Arabidopsis thaliana: one gene and its partner. The protein of the gene in region 2 interacts with the protein of the main gene of each other region in a pairwise test. Each region holds a gene or a part of one and is shown on either strand. Other genes may lie near its edges.

Region 1 (8,206 bases), on a different chromosome or scaffold from region 2:
ATTTCTGGATCTCCGGCCACCGTAGAATCTCTCGGCAGAATCTCGTCATGCTCCATGGATACGGAGGAAACTCCAAATGGCAATTCGTTCATCAAGTCTCGGATCTCTCGAAATCGTTTAATCTCTTCATCCCCGATTTGGTCTTCTTCGGAAAATCGTATTCGAAGAATAGAGATCGGAGCGTTGAGATTCAGGCGAGGAGCGTCGTCGGAGGATTGAAGAAACTGGGATGCGTTGAAGGAGGAGGAGGAATATCGATTTATTCGATTAGTTACGGTGGATTTGTGGCGTATAAAATGGCGGAGATTTGGCCGGCGATGGTTGAGAAATTGGTGATTGTGAGTAGTGGAGTGGGATTTACACAGCAGCAGAAGACGGCAGAATTGAAAAAACACGGCGGAGATTGTTCGAAGATTTTAGTTCCGAAAACTCCGATGGATCTACGGTTGCTGATTAAGATATCTATGAATACTGGTTTAACGTTCGTCGATTGGGTTCCAGACTTTTTCCTTTCCCAATTCATCGCTGTAAGTTTGTTCTGTTTCTGTTTTATCTGTTTATTTCCGAATCTGGTCCCGTAAATTGTTTGTTCGTTAGTCATGATCCTAAAGGTTTGGAATTTGCAAAATTCATCCTCTTCTTATAGGTAATGTATGAGAAAAATCGGCAGGAGCTTCTTGAGCTAGCTAAGAATTTGTTGGAACGAGAGGAGGAACCAGAATTGCCTGTAATATCCCAGGTAGTATAAAATTTCGTTGAGTTAACCTTTTTTTAATTCCTGATCACTAATGGTTTAACTCTAAGCATCAAGATATATATTAATAAGTTGGCGTGATGATTAATGTGTCGCTGATAGAGAACTAATTGATGTTTTGGATTGTTTTTATGGGTTTTAAGTATTCATCTTTTGGATAGTGGAAACACTATTCTCGTTTGTTTGCTTTCACTTTTATATTATTTCTAGAGGGATGCTATGGATTGAGATGCTTTATTCGAATCTACGAATAAAATATGACTCTGATTAATTTGATATATATGATGCAGAAAACGTTAATCGTTTGGGGAGACAAGGACAAGGTGTTTCCCTTGGAGCATGCTTATCGGCTGCAAAGGTAAATACTACATTGATATTTTATGGTAATAAGTCCCATAACAAGTGTTGTCATAATAACTACATCCGTATAAAATATTTAATATTTCTACTAGGTCAAAAGAGATGAAACATCGAACGTGAACGCATGTGATTATTGATCGTGAATCCAATATGTCGAAACTAATAAAAATTATATACTTTTGCAGGCATTTACAGAGTTCAAGATTAGAGATAATAAAGGAAACAGGACACGCTGTTAACATTGAAGCACCAACTACTCTTAATAATTTTATTACTTCGTTTGTCTTAAGTGCTTGATTTCTATTTTTGTATATACTTCTTCTTCATATAAATATCTATATGCATTTGATTTAAGTGTATATATAGTTGACATCATTTAACATATCATCAACTGCTGAGTCATCAAAGAGCTAAAACTTTCAAGCTTAAAATGGAGAGGACAACTAAAATTACAAAAGGAAAAAACAAAAACCCACTAAAAAAGAAGACGAAATAGTTAGAAAGTCCCACAACTACGAAAAAAATAACTGTATTATTTGATTGCCTATAAGACTCATGAATTTTATATATAATACATACAGTTTCACTACTTGTGCCTTCAACTCTCCATAGATGTGTAAACTCCTGCAACCTATAATAGGAAAAGTTGAGGACTATATATAGCCAGCCATAAATACCCGAGGTTTTCTTATTTATGTAAGTGGTGTTTGTGTATGATAAAAGTGTTTACCAAGAAGATGAACATAGCAGTGAGAGCTGGCTCAGGCTTCTATATTCAAGTCCTTTAGTATCGTGTCATGTGTTGTAATATGTGAGGACCGGATGTCTGCGAAACCAATTGTTCTGAACTTTGGGAGGGTCTTAAGAGATGATTCGGACCATTTGGGTTCACCATCGCTTGTCTCATAGTTTCCTTGGAATTGCTTGCATTCGTCTCTGGTTTTGAGGATTCTAGTAATGCACGCACCTGGCGACACAACACAAAAAAGAAACTTCAGAGAGAGGTCCATAAGCACGACTGTACACAAAGAGATGTTTGGAATATCATTCAGCTTACCATTGCAAGTCGCTTCTTGTGGAGATCAGTTGGTACCTGCAAGTTGTTAACTTGGGATCAATATCTAGCAAACTCATGTTCTTTCTCTTTTTCTTTTATTGGACATTCAGGTGGTGATGCACATTCACATATACTTTTTGTGCTTTTAAAGAGTTTTAAAAAGAAAATCACTTACAGTTTTTGTTTGACGTTTATCCTCACTTGAGAATCCAGGAATTGTCAAGTGCAAGTTTTTCTCTGCAAAAAATTATAACTCAGCAAACAGTAAAATGAGTAACAATAGCAACTACTTAGAATTCACATTGAACAGAGCTCATCACCAAATTAAGTACAGACCTAGGTGGAGTAATATATCCTTGGGCTCCAATACAGATGATTTACGATGCTTAGCCAAGCTACATGCAAAAGATGTGACCTGCAATGAAGTTTAGGTAAGATAGAGATAGGTTTTCACAAATCTGTAAATAAAAAAGCTGAAGTTAATACTAAATAATTGATATTAGCTTCTAACCGAATCAATGAAGTCATCTGCCACCTCCAAAAGGAGGTCTTCAACATCAGGATCCAGTTTCGCATGTACATCCACCTGAACATCATGATACAATAGAATGAAACATATTTCTAAAGGAAGAAGAAGATAGAAACAAGCTATAGAGTTGAAGAGGGAAAATCACCTGCGAAACCAGATCCTGTATCTTCCTTTTACCAAGGAGTTGGTTTGTTGCTTCTGTTCCCTGGCTTGAGCTACCACCTGGTGTTGTTGTACCCGATTGTGTAGCCTCTGGTTGTGAACCCGTTAAACTGACAGATTTTTGTCCTGCATGACTCAACATCCTTGGAGATGGCTGTTGTTGATTAATCTGCATTTGCTGTTGTTGTTGCTGCTGCTGCTGCATCTGCTGTTGTGGTTGCTGCTGTAGTTGCTGCTGCATCTGTTGTAGTTGTTGTTGGGAATGGGATTGGTTCATCTGCGACTGGCCTAATTGTGATTGTTGCTGCTGCTGTTGTATTATCTGTGATATCTGCTGCTGATTCAAGGACATAGAAGATTGATGTAACTGAGGAGAGGACAGTTGTTGTTGTTGCTGCTGCTGCTGCTGTAAGAGAAGAGCCTGTCTTTGACTCGGTTGGAGTCGGAATGAATTGGGGCTCGTTATTCCCGACATTTGCTTCAGCCATTGCTGCTGTGACAAAGAGTTTTGCATCATGCCAGCTTGTCCATTCTGGGCCAAACCCGATAGCTGAGGATTCATAAATGCGAGAGAAGATGTTCTCTGGAGGTTCTGGACCTACACAGGGGATTACAAAAAGTTACCAAGTGAAGAGGATACAGGATACATGAGATTCGACGCAACTCTATTTTTTAACTTGAAACGAAAGAAACACATGCTCACAAAATGATCAGGAATTTGCATATTGCACAACATAAATGTATTAGTACCTCTATAGATACATAGGCCAGATTTTACAATTACACGGTAAATCTGTCAAATTTAAGGATCATTCCCGCGTCATTCAGGTATTTTAGTTGCCAATTACAGATATTGGAAAAACTCTGCAAGTCAATATTAAGTGATTGATTAAAGTACCAAAACCTCATGGATCAGTTTAATTAAGACTGTGCAACAATAAGTCAAAAGAAGTGAAAGGATCCAACACGAGAATTCATTTGTATCTATGAGCCATAAGATATAACAAGTAGTCAATAAAAAAGTTCACAATGTGAGAGAAAGAAGTTCGTAAGATACGACTTTTTAAAACTCATACCTGAGGTGAAGTAAGAGCGTTTTGCTGTGACAATTGCTGTCTCATCTGCCCCGGGTTGATTCTCTGCTGCGCATAGAGAGCAGGGTTACCTCTCATTTGCGAGGTCAAATTCAGTGATCCCATCATTCCCATAGCTTGCATCCCTTGTAACTGTTGTCCAGAACTTCCCGGATGAAACTGCGAACCTTGAACCATGCCAGATTTCTGCCTCGGCTACAACGGAAAAGCTCATTTGTCTCAGAATAAAGAAAATGATTTGTTGTTCACACAATAATAGAAGAAACTGCAGAGTTTACTATATTCATATCAACAAAAACAATTGCAACACTATCTCCATCTAAAGCAATACTACAAGTTGAGACTCCATCCACAAAAAGAAAGATATGAATCAACAAAGGGAAAGAGAGTAAAAGTAAAGAATGGGGTACCGAAGCAGCCAATAATTGGGGTTGAATATTCATCTGAGCAGCTCCAGCAGCACCGTTAAGCATAGGCAAGTGACCGCTTTGGCCAACTAAACCTGCTCTGGACATATTAGGGTTAACCATCTGCTGATTCTGCTGGCTCTGTTGAACTGAACCTGAGCCACCAAAGTTCATGGTTCCGTACAAACCAGCTTGCTGTCTCAACACGTTGCCGTATTGACCTTGATGCTGCTGCTGCTGTTGTTGCTGAATTTGGCTCAGGCGAGAAAGAGAAGGGGATCGCTGAAGAGATTGAGCAATTTGGTAACTCGACATTGGGATTTGCTGTGAAGTCATGTGTTGTTGCTGCAGAATCTGTTGCTGTTGCGGCGATAATTGTGGAATCGGAGATGAAGAGATTTGCTGCATAATCTGTTGTTGTTGTTGAGGCAATTGCTGAGTTTGTTGAACGAGTTGCTGAGTCTGTGTTTGCTGATCTAAAGATGAAGAAGGGTGAGAGAGAGGAGAAGGCGACGGGATCTGAGCTCCGATTGGTGGGTTAGAAGAAGTAGGGTTGGGAGAGGAGATGTTAGGTTGCGAATTGTTCTGAATTACAATACCTTCGGTGGTAGTTACAGTCATCGCCGGAGACGCAGCGGAATTAACAGAATTGGAAATCGGAGCTGTCATGAGTTGTTGTTGTTGAGATGATGATGAAGGTAAAGGAGTAGAAGATGCAGGAGAAGGTTCCATAGGATTAGGAGATTGTAGAGATTTCGGTGACAGAGACGATGAGGGAATCGGTTCCGCCATTAGAAGAAACCCAGCTGTGAAGAAGAAGAAGAAGAAGAAGAAGAAGAAGGTGTATTATTTGGTTGAGAGGGGTTTTGTCGATTTTCTCTCATGAAATCGTGTTTTATTTTTTTCCCAGAAGTTTATTGACCGATAAAATATGGTCTTCTATTTTTTTTGTTTTGTTTGTTGAATCAGTTCTGGGGAAAAAAGAATCTGAGCCGTACACGTCAGTAGATTTAGCGGAAGATGATCGAAAAGATACTTGTACTGAACTGTGTTTCATTATTCCAGACTCTCGCACAACTGCTCTAACACTTTTTGTAGGATTATCTCATAGACCAATGCAATCAATATTTTACATTTTTTTCTCTTCACCATTTATTACATCAAATACGTCAACAAAAAGTCAAACTGTTTCGTTACTCAGGTGATGAAACTAGTGTGCACTATTTTCACGTTTTTGGTGTTTCAGAATTATGTTTTTAAATTTATTCAGCACAATGTTTTTTCTGCCTCTTGATTCTGTATGATTCAAACCTTTATTGATTAACTAAGTAAACTACACTAACTAGATGGAAACAACATCCTGTTGATCATTTAATTCATTCTTATTTGGAGATTTTTCCGTCTACAAATTAAATAGAAATCTTTATTTAGTTATAACTTGTAACTTGTAGGAGACCTTTTAGTTGAATAAAAAATAAGCTCTCTTTTTAACTGAATAAAACCTTCCAAAACTCACCTATAATAGGGATATGAATCCAACACTATGAATCTATAAAGAGAATTAATCATCACACCTACAGCTATACAAATACAAGATCTTGTGGACTTTAAATCACAAAACTATAATAATTTCCCACATAAACATTAATAATTTATTGCATCGAGTTTTGGACTGAACTAGAGAGACTGAGAGAGATTTTACAGACATTACAAGGCAAAGAGTCCCTTGGAGTTTGCAAACAAGTGTTTGCGGCGAATAAGTTCCGGTTTTCTAGGACCTGTTGAGACGAGACCGGCTAACAGAGACGGAGGACCGGTGAATTTGGTTTGCACCATTTCCCTCACTTTCATATAGCCGTCGAGTGTCATCAACTCCAGAAGCTTTCTACAGCTCTGATATTGAAATTTTTTTACAGAATGTTATCAGAGAGCAACCACCGTATATAGAGACAACAGACAAAGAGCTTTAAGAAGTTTTGATCAGTTTCAGTAAATGAAACCATAGGAGAAGAGGTTTTTAGGGTTTATGATTGTTATTACCTGAGGATTTAGTATGTCCATTAGGTTTATTATCTCGTCCTGCCACAAATGAATGTTTCGATTAGTATTTTCATAGAGTTCGAAACCATGATGGCAAAAACTTATTGGGTGGAAAATGGAGAAGTATTTACCTCTGGTATACCGGGATTTTGCATCACGGTACCAAGAACACGGCGAACTAGTCCATCAAAGACAATTTTATTTATTGACCCATCTGCGTTTACCCATGGATATATAGGCACAGGTGACTTTTCAGAAGTTGATTCCTTTGTTTCACCTTCAATACCCGTTCCAAAAGTAACAGATGGAGCTTTGATAGATGCTTCATGCAAACCGCTCGTTTGAGCCGTTTCAGGAAGGTTAAGAATTGTAACCTTGTGAACGCTATTCCCAGCGACATGCTCTCGCATGTCCTGTGAAGTACTGTAGCTGCTAGCAATGATATCTTTGGACCTATGTTCCCCAACAGCTCTCTCTAGGTAGTTCACTGGTAGAGACTGTTGACTTTTTTGGGAAGTTCCATCTTCCTCCAATGTCAAGAAGTACTTTGATCGGTAGAAGGAATGGACAACACGGAAATTATTATAGCCATTTACCTGAATAAGATATTGTATGGTTAACAAGTTGCTTGTAAAACGATGTAACATGAACTGAGTTCACAATCCAGGTAAGTAAAACTAGTAAACCAAGCACTGCAACTTTCATCTTAATAAAGGCAACAGGGTTTGTAAAATAAGAGATAATCAGACAAACCTTCAAAGCTACCCCAAATGTTTGAAGTACATCTACAATGCAGTCACAAGTTTCTTGGCCTGATGAATACACAAAGGTTAAATAAAAACACTGAAGGAAGTCGCCAGCACATGCAAAAATAAAAGCCTGTTAAAAAGGTTTGCCTGATGCTTACTTGGGATATCAATAAGACTGTGGACTTCTTCAATGCTCAGACCTTGGTCACCAGCCTTCTGAAGGGCATTGGAAACGGTTTCAAAAACCCTGGGACTGAATAAACTAACTTCCTCATCTGTTGATTCGGACATAATGCTACTAGTAAAACTGGCCATCGCTTGCCAGGGAGAATCACCTAGACTGCTTGGTATGACAGTAGAATCTGTAGAGTTGAAAAGTTCTTTCATGTCATCAGAATCACAGCCACTATTCGCTTCTCCCCACTTCAAATGAAATTCACCAGTGCGAGAGTCATCATCCTTAAACAACTCTATTGCATTAGCTGTTGGTATAGTTGCACGACGAACAGATACTGCTATACCAGGGAAACCCTTTTCCTTTCGGAAGTTGATTTCACCTTCGCCTAGTAGCTTCAATTTCTTAGAACTCTCAGCTTCAGATTCTTCTATGTCATCAGCTCTACGTTTCAAACCTCTTCGATCTCCAGGCTCTCCAACACCTTCTTCAGGCAAGGATACAGATATAGAGAGTTCACCAGAAGAAACCAATGAAAAGAAATTTAAAATATCACCACATTGCAAATCCGAAGTAAGAGTGACACCCCCAGCCATAAGGTCTCTTTCATGTTCGAAAAGCCAACTGGAGAACTTGGCTGCTCTTGTCCCAGTATTAACTGGGAATGGAGACTTTGAAATACTGTGCAAGAAGTTTTGAGAAAGCACAAATGGCTGTCCACCACTTCCACCAACCTGGAACGTTCCCATAATTCAATGACTTTTCAGTTTTCTTTGACAAATACAATCATTAAGTTTATCTATACAAGCAAATAAACTTGATTGAAAATAAAATAATAAAGTGACGTGAAGAAATGTAGAAAACTGTTTCTTATTCACC
Region 2 (9,802 bases):
GTTATATGATTCAAGGAGGCAATATGACCTAAAACGTGGCCTAAGTTTGGTTTCATTTGTGAATTATGTGGTTAACCTCATACTAGTTTTACCTACCCTAATTTATTTTTGGCATTAATTTAAATAAACAAAAATAAACCAAATTATTTTTTTAGTCAAAATGTTACAAGAAAGTAACAAAAAGTAAAAGAAGATGGTGAAGCAAGTTTTCGCAGTAAAACGCGATGGAACTTTGAGACTTCCTGATAAATATATGCTTAGATGATCAAAATTCATACATGTTTATGTCCATATCTATGCGATACTTTTGCTGCATTGTAGACACCAAAAAAACAAAAAAAATCTACTAGTACTGATGGTTGGTTCAATTGAATAAAAAGAATGCGATTGCGTGTGACCCAGAACACTCATACTTGTCATTGTTCAGCTGTCAGCTTTCGTCTGGTTTGCCATATATGTCAAATAGATTGTCCATATATATGCGCACGAGCTATTCATCAGTGGCTGCAACCAGAAGATTACAAGTTGAAGTTAAGAAGTGTCTTCAAACATCCCAAACAATAGAGAAAGTAATAAGATAGATATTTGGTTTACCTGTAGATGAACTGGCACATACTTGAATGTAACAAAATCACAGACCGGCCAATACATAAGTCCATTTTTCAATGTTGGCAGAAGATCTCTCTTCAATCTCGCCACAATTTCCTCAGAATTTTCGCCTTAAAAAGGACCAACAACGTGCCAGAACCAATCTCATAATGAGCACCATAAATTTACAGGCAGAGAAACCGTAAAAAGCTAAATCCGTTCAATCCATAGAGGTTTGATTATGTTATGTACCTTGTAAAGCAGCATTGTAGGAATAGAAGACTGTGTTGCTAACAGGTCCGAAAAGAACCTGCCCCATCATTATTTTCTTAAAGGTTGTCAACACGTCGCGCTTTGGCAATATCTTCGAAAGATAACTGAACCACAGATGCTGAGACGGCCCGAGAAATATCAACCCAAAGCTCGCCATTCTCGCTGTTCTTATCAAGTCAAAAGAACCAGTTGGCTCCATTGTGATCATCTGTTGAAGAATTTAGAGAGTCAACACAAATAAAACAAAACAAAAGGTTCTCTAGTTTCGCTCTAACATATTACTGGGGGAAGAGCACCACAACATGATCATAAAAAGACTCAAAAGAGAAATCCACTAATGACAAGAAGAAAAACAGAGTTTACAAGAACCCCAACACACACACCTAAAGCTTTTTTCACCTTAGCAATAAGTATTCACAAGAGATAATAACAAGAAGATTAGACTATTCGGATTGGAGTGTGAGTTTTCTGAGTAATCAAACCAATACTAAATTCATCCATTATTCAGTACAGAAAGACTTCAAATTCACAAGAGTACAATATACAGATTCAGTAAACACTGTAAGTACAGTCTCACACATCAAAGAACAACAGTTGAGAACACAGACTAAACCAAAAATATGAGAATAACAATTCATTAAAAAACACCAACTTTTAGTGCTATCTCCACCTATTCTTTACTAAAGTATTATAACTTCTTCCACTAGTAAGATTATGATCTAGTTTCAAATCAAATTTGGAATTGTCTTGGTATAATAACAAATGAAGATTAGTCTTTTCTTCCTAAATCAAGAGATAAAATTCAAAACTTTAACAAAATTCTCTAATTAGTAATGAAATGAGAAAGAACCCTAAATTCCAAAAACTACAAAGATTCAAAAAAAAACCTGAGAAGTGAGATCTGCAGCCATATAGATGACAGAAGTAGTGATACTCTTAGTCATAAAAGGATGTGATTCGAGCTTTCTCAAATACCATCGTAGAAACGCAGGTTGTTTCGAAGAAGAAGACGAAGCCTTCGTCGTTAGATTTCGCGACACGGAGAAAACACGAGGGATTACGAAATTCCCAGTTTTGCGTAGCTCGTGAATCGATCGGCCGGAGAATCCGAGAATCGGTTTCCGACCGGTGAACACTGTTTTCAAGAGAGCATTGTTGATCCCGTGAAGAGAGCGACGATCGGAGAAGAAACGTTTGCTCAATCCAACGATATTCATCTTCTTTTTTCGCCGATGCTTCGTTAATGGCGGCAGCTTACACTGTACTTTTGATGTATCTCTCTCTCTGTACCAGAACTTTTAGTCTCAATACACGCAAACAACAAACAGTGCTTAACCAAAACCAATAAACGACATAAAGTTTGATATATCTCTCCACGCAATAAAGCAAACGACAGCGTTTTTCGTATTCCATTAAACGTCATGCAGTTTTTAAAAGAACACCAATAAACAACATGAGGTTACTCATCCATAACAAACGGTATCGTTTTTTTTCGATCAAAATTAAAAACGACATACAGTGCTAAAACAAAGCTAATAAACGACATGAGGTTAGTTTAGGACTAATCTTATAACATCTGTTTCCTATTAATTCATCTACGCCGAGAGCTCTCTTTCTCTCTTTGCCTTCCCCAGCTATTTCAATGGATCCTTCAATTTTCAAGCTCCTTGAAGAAGATGAGGTTAGGTTTCTAATCTCACTCGTTTCAAAATCCAATTTTGTGTGATGTATCTGGAATCGTCTTCGTGGTTTTTGATTCCGGTCGAATTGTATTATTTTAGGATGAATCGATGCATTCAGGAGCTGACGTAGACGCGTTCCAAGCTGCTCTGAATCGTGATATTGAAGGTTCTATGACAACTTCAATACCCCACGTGACAAACCCAGGTTTGGTTTCTCTACAAATTCGCTCTTAAATTTTATGTCTGAGATTTTAATTTTTGTGGTACTATTAGTTAATATAAAGATAGTATCTTTTGGTTTTATCTTGGATTGGCTGCTTTGGGAAGCTTTGACATGTTAGCAAAGTTGTGCTTGTTTTTAATATATACAGTTTTCTCAGATAGGTTATTACTCTTGGAACATGGATAACTTAAGAAGATGCCTTGGTTAGGCTATATTGTAAACCTTGCTAATCTAGTGACATGTTTGGAAGTTTCAGTCCTGTATTAAAGCAATAGTTAAGGTCATGAAATATTAGTTTGTTAGGGTTTCTGTATGTTAATATCGGGATAAGCTTTGTCATTGCCAATATAGCCTGTACTAGTTGATTGTTGAGTCATTAAAATTGATCAGTGTGATGGGATTTATTAGCCAGGGTAGACATAGGTTGGTGATGCTGATACTATTTTAGTGTTAGGCTTTGTTCTTGGTTCACTGCAATCTTGACGATGATTACGTGTCTCCTTAAATCATTATTTTCTGTCTCTGGTGCTGGAAGTGATCTCTTTCCTCTGACTACACCATTAAATATTGAAATACAAATAGGTTGTGATTTGTGGATAGGTGTATGAGAGCTACTGAGTATGCATTTTGTGTGCATAATCTGCTACAACAAAATCCTGTCTTTTGTCCTTTTTTGGGTATTATATGATTTTTCCTCCAGTTTAACTTGTGATTTGAGTATCATCAACCAATTGCTTCTATTATTTTTATAGGAAACAACCATTCTTCCAGGCAGCAGTTTTCGACATGGAAGAATGGTATTGGAGATTCTAATATCAATGTCCAGACTCAGCATAGCCTTGAAAGTACTCAGATGAAGGAGCAAGAAGGATCGACTTTAGAAAATCAACATCAACATGATTTGAAACGCGCAAATGAACCTCATTTACAACACAACCAGCCTCAAGACCTTCATCGAGCTGGTCAACTCTGGGAGAATCCCTCGCAGGTCCCCCAATCAACTGGGTTACCGATTAGTGAAAAGAATCCTACTGGTAATGAATCAGATAGATCCCATAATCAAGAGAGTGAATCTCAGTATATGAAACTGCAAAAGATGAGTAGTCAACAGGCTCGGGGAGTGGAACCGCCTGTTAACCCTATGAATGTTAACCCTATAAACCGCAACCCTAAGCAAGTACCATTTGCTGCTTTGCTTCCTACTTTAATGAACCAACTCGATAAAGATAGAGCACTGCAGCTCCGTACCCTATATGCTAGACTTAAGGTATGTCTATCTGTGAAATCATTTGACATTCTGTTCCAAAGCTATTGTATTATCATTTCTTTCCTTCTGCTACTTTTTTTTGCAGAAAAATGAAATCCCCAAAGAGGGGTTCACACGACATATGAAAGATATTGTGGGCGATCAGATGCTCAGGATGGCAGTTAGTAAACTCCAGCAGGTATTACCATTTTGCATATATTGTGCCATGTTGTGACTAAAACCAGACAACCAACCTAGGGTATTAGTTTGTAAGTGGAATCATGTTGGAATTGTTTGTCTAAAAGTTCTGCTTGCTAGTGCTTTACATTTTTACTCTTTTTTTACATTTGCTCTTTGAATTTAGCTGGATCAAAAGACTATTGTTTTTTATTAGCTTGAATGCACATAGAATGGTCTGACATGAAGTAGAACTGTTGATAAGTCAAATGATGTTTAGAATATATATTTTAGCTTCATAAATTAGATACAACATATTGAATTAGGGAAAAACTCTTTATTTTCCTCTATTTTGATCACTACCAAAAAGTCGAGATTTACTTTCTTACAGAATACCAATCTTAGCAGATTATTATTCCTTTCCAAAGGTTATCAGACTTATGCCTGGGATGATCTAATCATATGAGTTTACTGACTTGCGTTTGTCCCACATTTACATGTTAAAACGGTGCTAAATTTATACGTCCAGCGTTTGTGGTCAATGTCTGCAGAGTAGGACTAGTTCAAGTACACCAACTGATACGATTTAATCTTATTTCCCATTATAATTATAATAAGATACGAAAAGTTTAGTCCAATTCTAATTAGAATTTCTATTTTCTTTCCCTTTTTCGTTTGGGAGTTATCTTTTCCTATATATAAGGTTGAAGCTCTTTATCTTTGTCCGAGGGAACCAAAGTTATTCTCTTTGTTCTGTTTTCTACTATTTTAATGAAGGTTTTGCTTTTTGAACTGGGTTCTTAATTCCAACTAAAATTGTGCTAACCGTTGAAGCATTTGAAATTGGGTATAGATTCTTATTTATTTGTAATTTGTGCTCATTGTTTTCAGGTGAACTATAACCAGGGAAAAATTGGAATTCAAGCTCCTTCTACTGGTATAAATTATTCACTAATGCATTCTTTTTTATTTTTCTTTCACCATTATCATAAAAGCTTCTATACTCTCCATAGATATATCTTATTACTTCCATGCAGGAGCCAATATCTTACCTGATTAAATCTATTCATTCGCAGAAATCAATAATCAAAAATCTCAGTCTGATCCTCGTGCAGTCCATCTTAACCAACTACCGTCCTCAGCTTCAGGCACCTTAGGCAGTTCAGTTCCGGTACAGGGACTTACCAAACATCCGCAGCACCAGATGCAGCATCCACCAAGTTCTTTTCCTATGTATACCACTTCTGGTAGTTTTCATTCATTCCCGGGTCCAAACACCAATGCTTCTGGTTCCACGTTGAGACCTCACCTTCATGATTCCCATATGAGACATGTGGCACATAACCAGCCTATGGGATCAACTGGTCTTGGAGGACCGCCCCAGTCTACCACAAACATGATGACTATGCCCAAGTTTGAGAGGCCAAGTTCTGTAAATGATCCGAGTAGGGTTCAGGGTGGCGCTACATCGCACTTCCAGAACAGCTCATCATTGCCTCTAAATTCTGCACCTGGTCAAGGATCATCAGTGTCCCACGTAAAGCAGGAATCAGTTGATCAAAGTTTTGAAAAGAATAATGCAGCCTCAATGACTTCGAATGAGGACTTAGAGAAGGAGTCCTCTAGAATGGTTTTATCCACGCCTAACAACATGGCGCCTGCAAGCTCTGTTTCTCCTTCCATGACAACTCAACTAGACGCCAGCACAACTGTAAGAGATCTATTAATATATAGTTTTCTCATTATAAAAGTCAGTCTCCACTGTTCTTGTTTGCCTCTTCTCTTTGAGCTGCTGGGGCAACTATGGCGCTTCAAAAGCCCTTGCATATTTTCCGTGTTATGTCCGACAACCTGGACATCTATTGTTTTTCCTTGTTTTGGGTTTTATAATTTCTACTATAAACAGTAAATAGGAAAAGTTTCAATTGGACATCATTAACATTGTTTGTGTATCCATCAGATGAATTCTCGTGGCCCATTGGGAACCTCTCAAGGAGGAGCTAATGCTAGGATGCCACCCAAAAAGCCTTCTGTTGGTCAGAAAAAACCTCTTGAGACATTAGGTTCTTCACCTCCACCACCAAGGTAATTGATCTGCTCAGGCTTAGAAACAGGGAACAGTTTTTTAAGTCACTCTTTCTTCGTTAATAATAGACTTCTGATGTATGGATTTTTAAGTGTAAACCACTTTTCTTTTCGAGTCCCCAAGTAATATAAAATCATAATCGTTTTGCATGGATCAACTTGCAGCAAGAAGCAAAAAGTAGCAGGGAATTCTATGGATCAAAGTATTGAACAGCTCAATGATGTCACTGCAGTCAGTGGTGTTAATCTCAGGGTGCGTTTCCTGGTAGCTTCAGTTTTCAATTTTAATCTGGATGTAGATTACTGAAGTAAATCATTTTTTGTCTGCATTTGATTTAGGAAGAGGAAGAACAATTATTTTCTGGGGCCAAGGAAGATGGTCGTGTTTCCGAAGCATCTCGGAGAGTTGTGCACGAAGAAGAAGAAAGATTAATCTTGCAGAAGAATCCTCTGCAAAGAAAGCTGGCGGAAATTAGTTGGGATACTTCCCATATCTTCTTCTATTTTAATTTCTAGTTATTGAATCACTTGGAGACGAAGCTTACATATGCTTTTCTTATCTGGCAGTGGCTAAAGCCGGGTTAAAGCAGATAAGCAATGATGTCGAACGGTGCTTATCTTTGGTGAGATGTCAACTTCGTGTGCATTGTTTGCATACAATACTTGAGCTTCTTTTTCCCCTTTTCTCATGTATTTGCTTTCAGTGTGTGGAGGAAAGGATGCGAGGACTATTATCCCATATAATTCGGTTGTCAAAGCAGGTCAGTCTAACTTTCTCTTACTACCTGGTTCAACATTGTTTGATAAATTCTGTCTGAAGCTAAAAATGCTTCTTCAGCGGGTTGATGCTGAGAAATCTAGGCACCGGACTTTTATCACATCAGATATTCGGCTACAAATCAACGAAATGAATCAGAAGGTGAAGGAAGAATGGGAGAAGAAACAGGCTGAAGCAGAAAAGCTTAAGAAACCGAGTGAGGTCTGTTCTGAGCTCATTATCTATGTTCTTATGTTTACTACAACACACAGACATTGCAAATTTCATCTTTTTGCTGCAGAGTGAAGAAGGTGATGGTGGAGTTGACAGTGAGAAGGATAAAGAAGATAATCGTTCAAAGGGTGTGAAGGTATGGAGAAATTAATAATACATTTGTGGAAATTAATAATACCGTTGCAGTGTTCTTACAAAAGTGGTTTCGACATGTGAAGGGAAATAAAGAGGATGACGACAAAATGAGAACGACAGCTGCAAATGTTGCTGCTCGTGCTGCTGTCGGAGGAGATGATGCGTTCTTAAAATGGCAATTAATGGCTGAAGCTCGTCAGAAATCTGTATCTGAAGCTGGTAAAGATGGGAATCAGAAAACTACTTCAGGTGGAGGAAAGAACTCCAAAGATAGACAAGATGGTGGACGACGGTTTTCTGGTACTGGTGAGTCCATCCTTTTTAACTTGTTTCCCCTAGCAAAGCCGATGAACAAACCGATAAACCCTCCTTGAAAGCATGAAATGCTGCTAGTGTTAGGAAATGCTAAGAATCTAGCTGTGGTGTGGGGATTGTCTATCGAGTTAGTTCCTCACGGTTTTGGTTTGCGATGATGAGCTTTGGATTCTTGTTTGCAGGTGGTCGAAGAGTAGGGAAAAACCAAGGTTCGTCGCTTCAACCGAAAGTGGTGAGGACAATCTCTGTGAAGGATGTGGTTGCGGTCCTCGAAAGAGAGCCACAGATGTCCAAATCCACTCTGATGTATCGATTAATTCAATAGAAAGAAGAATCATTATATTTATAAGCTTCTGATGATAATTTAATCGTCAAGGCCCCAAGTCATTTATTTTTATACCATTGTGATTTGTTTCTGTTATGTTCATTGTTTTTTCATGGCCATTTCAACTCAAACGTCAATTTACAACACATCTTCTAGTGACTCATATCTCAATACTTTGCATCCAATGCAAAATTGAAAGACAAAAGTACTCTTTGTTAAATCATATACAGTATGTATCACACCGTCTAGTTAGCGACTGGACCCATCAAATAAATAATCACAAATTATTAATATGGTTGCTATAACTTCATTACTCTTATTGATATTTCTTGTAAATAGATGATAAAAATATTGTGTTTAGTCCAAATAATACACGCAAACTCGAGAAATTTGTCTACACTAAACCATATTATTCAAGTAAAAGAATGAGTAAAGATCACGCGGAACTTAATTGTGGTTTTGTGGTCCTCCCCACCTTCTGTGACTCGCACCTCTATCCCATTTACTACTTCGCATAAAATACTCGTTTTCACTCTATTCAATGCCAAGAAAACAACGTTGTAACTACTAAGAACCCATAAATATACTGAAAACACGAATTTCAATTATGTTTTTAGTGTTTCATCGTGTAACTTTTTCATAATATTTAAGGATTCGATCTTATCTATATATAGACAATACACTTCAAATTCTAAGGATAGACTAGAAGAAAACTCAATAAGGAAAAGTTTCATACTAATATTAGATGGAAAACAATTAAGAAAATAATAATAATACTATGCTTATGGTTATGATTTTGGTAGATGAAGTCGTAAAGAATATAAAAAAAAAGAACAACATTGGAGAAAATTGTCTTTAAATTACTAGGGTTTGTTTTTAGTAAATATGTGGATGAGTAAATACAATCTTAATGCAACCATTTTATAAACTAAAGAACGATATAAATAAGAATTCTAGTAGTACTAGTACATAGTGATTAGTACAACACTTAAACTCTTTGACAAATCGATACTAATCCATCACAAAAGTACCAAACATTCTAATAGAAAACGAAAAGAAAAAACTAATGAGATAGAATAATTAAAATCGCTTCATAGATATTGATCACTCCAAGGGATCAAGATTCTTCCTTTGCATCATCAATCCTTCCTTCTTCTTCTCGGGTTCTTCTGTGATCGTCGACAAACCTTGCCAGAGAGATAAACAATGTAATATGAAATTGTTTTATCTAGAAAAGATTCAAGAACTTATATTCATACATATATATAAGAAAATGAATATACCTGTTAAGTGAAATTTCTCCTTGAGCATCATTCTTCCAAGCTTTGATGCTCTAGCCTTTTCAAACAGCCACGTAGCCTCCATCTGTTTGCTTATCATTTGAGCAGCATAGTAAGGGATATTACCACGAAAGCAGCGGCCATTGACGAACATGATACAATCCATCAAGCTTTCTCTTGAAAGCCCTTTGATGTCATAAGCTCTTGACCTTGTCCAAAGACTCTTACCATGAGAATTCACTGGTTCCGACAAGCAAAGAGCTCTTGTGCAATCACTTATGGCCGCATCTACATCTCCAAGAAGTAAGTAACACTCTCCTCTTTCGCTATAAAGATTCATTCTCTTTCTCCTAAGTTTTAAAGGACATAAGCCTATTGCTTCGGTGTAGCATTTAATAGCTCCCTCTATGTCTCCTACATGAAGAAGTTGGTTTGCTTGCTGCTTAATCAAATATACAACAACACTTGTCTCTCTCAGAAAA

The links.
Region 1: the proteins of TAF4 (region 2) and EER4 interact in a two-hybrid assay, tested with the Arabidopsis thaliana proteins (one study listed by BioGRID).

Annotation. Positions count from the first base shown.
Region 1 is NC_003070.9:5,982,509-5,990,714, forward strand, and holds EER4 (Transcription initiation factor TFIID subunit A), read right to left. Parts: upstream 5,427-8,206; 5' UTR 5,156-5,426; coding exon 4,367-5,155; intron 4,152-4,366; coding exon 3,939-4,151; intron 3,461-3,938; coding exon 2,846-3,460; intron 2,758-2,845; coding exon 2,683-2,757; intron 2,587-2,682; coding exon 2,508-2,586; intron 2,409-2,507; coding exon 2,347-2,408; intron 2,208-2,346; coding exon 2,172-2,207; intron 2,082-2,171; coding exon 1,899-2,081; 3' UTR 1,845-1,898; exon of another isoform or gene 1,746-1,844; 3' UTR 1,476-1,745; downstream 1-1,475. Other genes in the region: AT1G17430 (alpha/beta-Hydrolases superfamily protein), read left to right, coding at 1-527, 647-739, 1,045-1,112, 1,300-1,411; AT1G17450 (B-block binding subunit of TFIIIC), read right to left, coding at 6,071-6,256, 6,404-6,442, 6,535-6,999, 7,157-7,215, 7,311-8,061.
Region 2 is NC_003076.8:17,313,846-17,323,647, reverse strand, and holds TAF4 (TBP-associated factor 4), read left to right. Parts: upstream 1-2,462; 5' UTR 2,463-2,503; coding exon 2,504-2,542; intron 2,543-2,642; coding exon 2,643-2,748; intron 2,749-3,518; coding exon 3,519-4,033; intron 4,034-4,118; coding exon 4,119-4,211; intron 4,212-5,080; coding exon 5,081-5,126; intron 5,127-5,265; coding exon 5,266-5,900; intron 5,901-6,149; coding exon 6,150-6,274; intron 6,275-6,439; coding exon 6,440-6,527; intron 6,528-6,613; coding exon 6,614-6,749; intron 6,750-6,841; coding exon 6,842-6,897; intron 6,898-6,978; coding exon 6,979-7,035; intron 7,036-7,112; coding exon 7,113-7,253; intron 7,254-7,332; coding exon 7,333-7,401; intron 7,402-7,483; coding exon 7,484-7,706; coding exon of another isoform or gene 7,707-7,774; exon of another isoform or gene 7,775-7,810; coding exon 7,811-8,040; 3' UTR 8,041-8,187; downstream 8,188-9,802. Other genes in the region: AT5G43140 (Peroxisomal membrane 22 kDa (Mpv17/PMP22) family protein), read right to left, coding at 424-504, 595-719, 841-1,069, 1,749-2,078; AT5G43120 (ARM-repeat/Tetratricopeptide repeat (TPR)-like protein), read right to left, coding at 9,145-9,227, 9,324-9,802.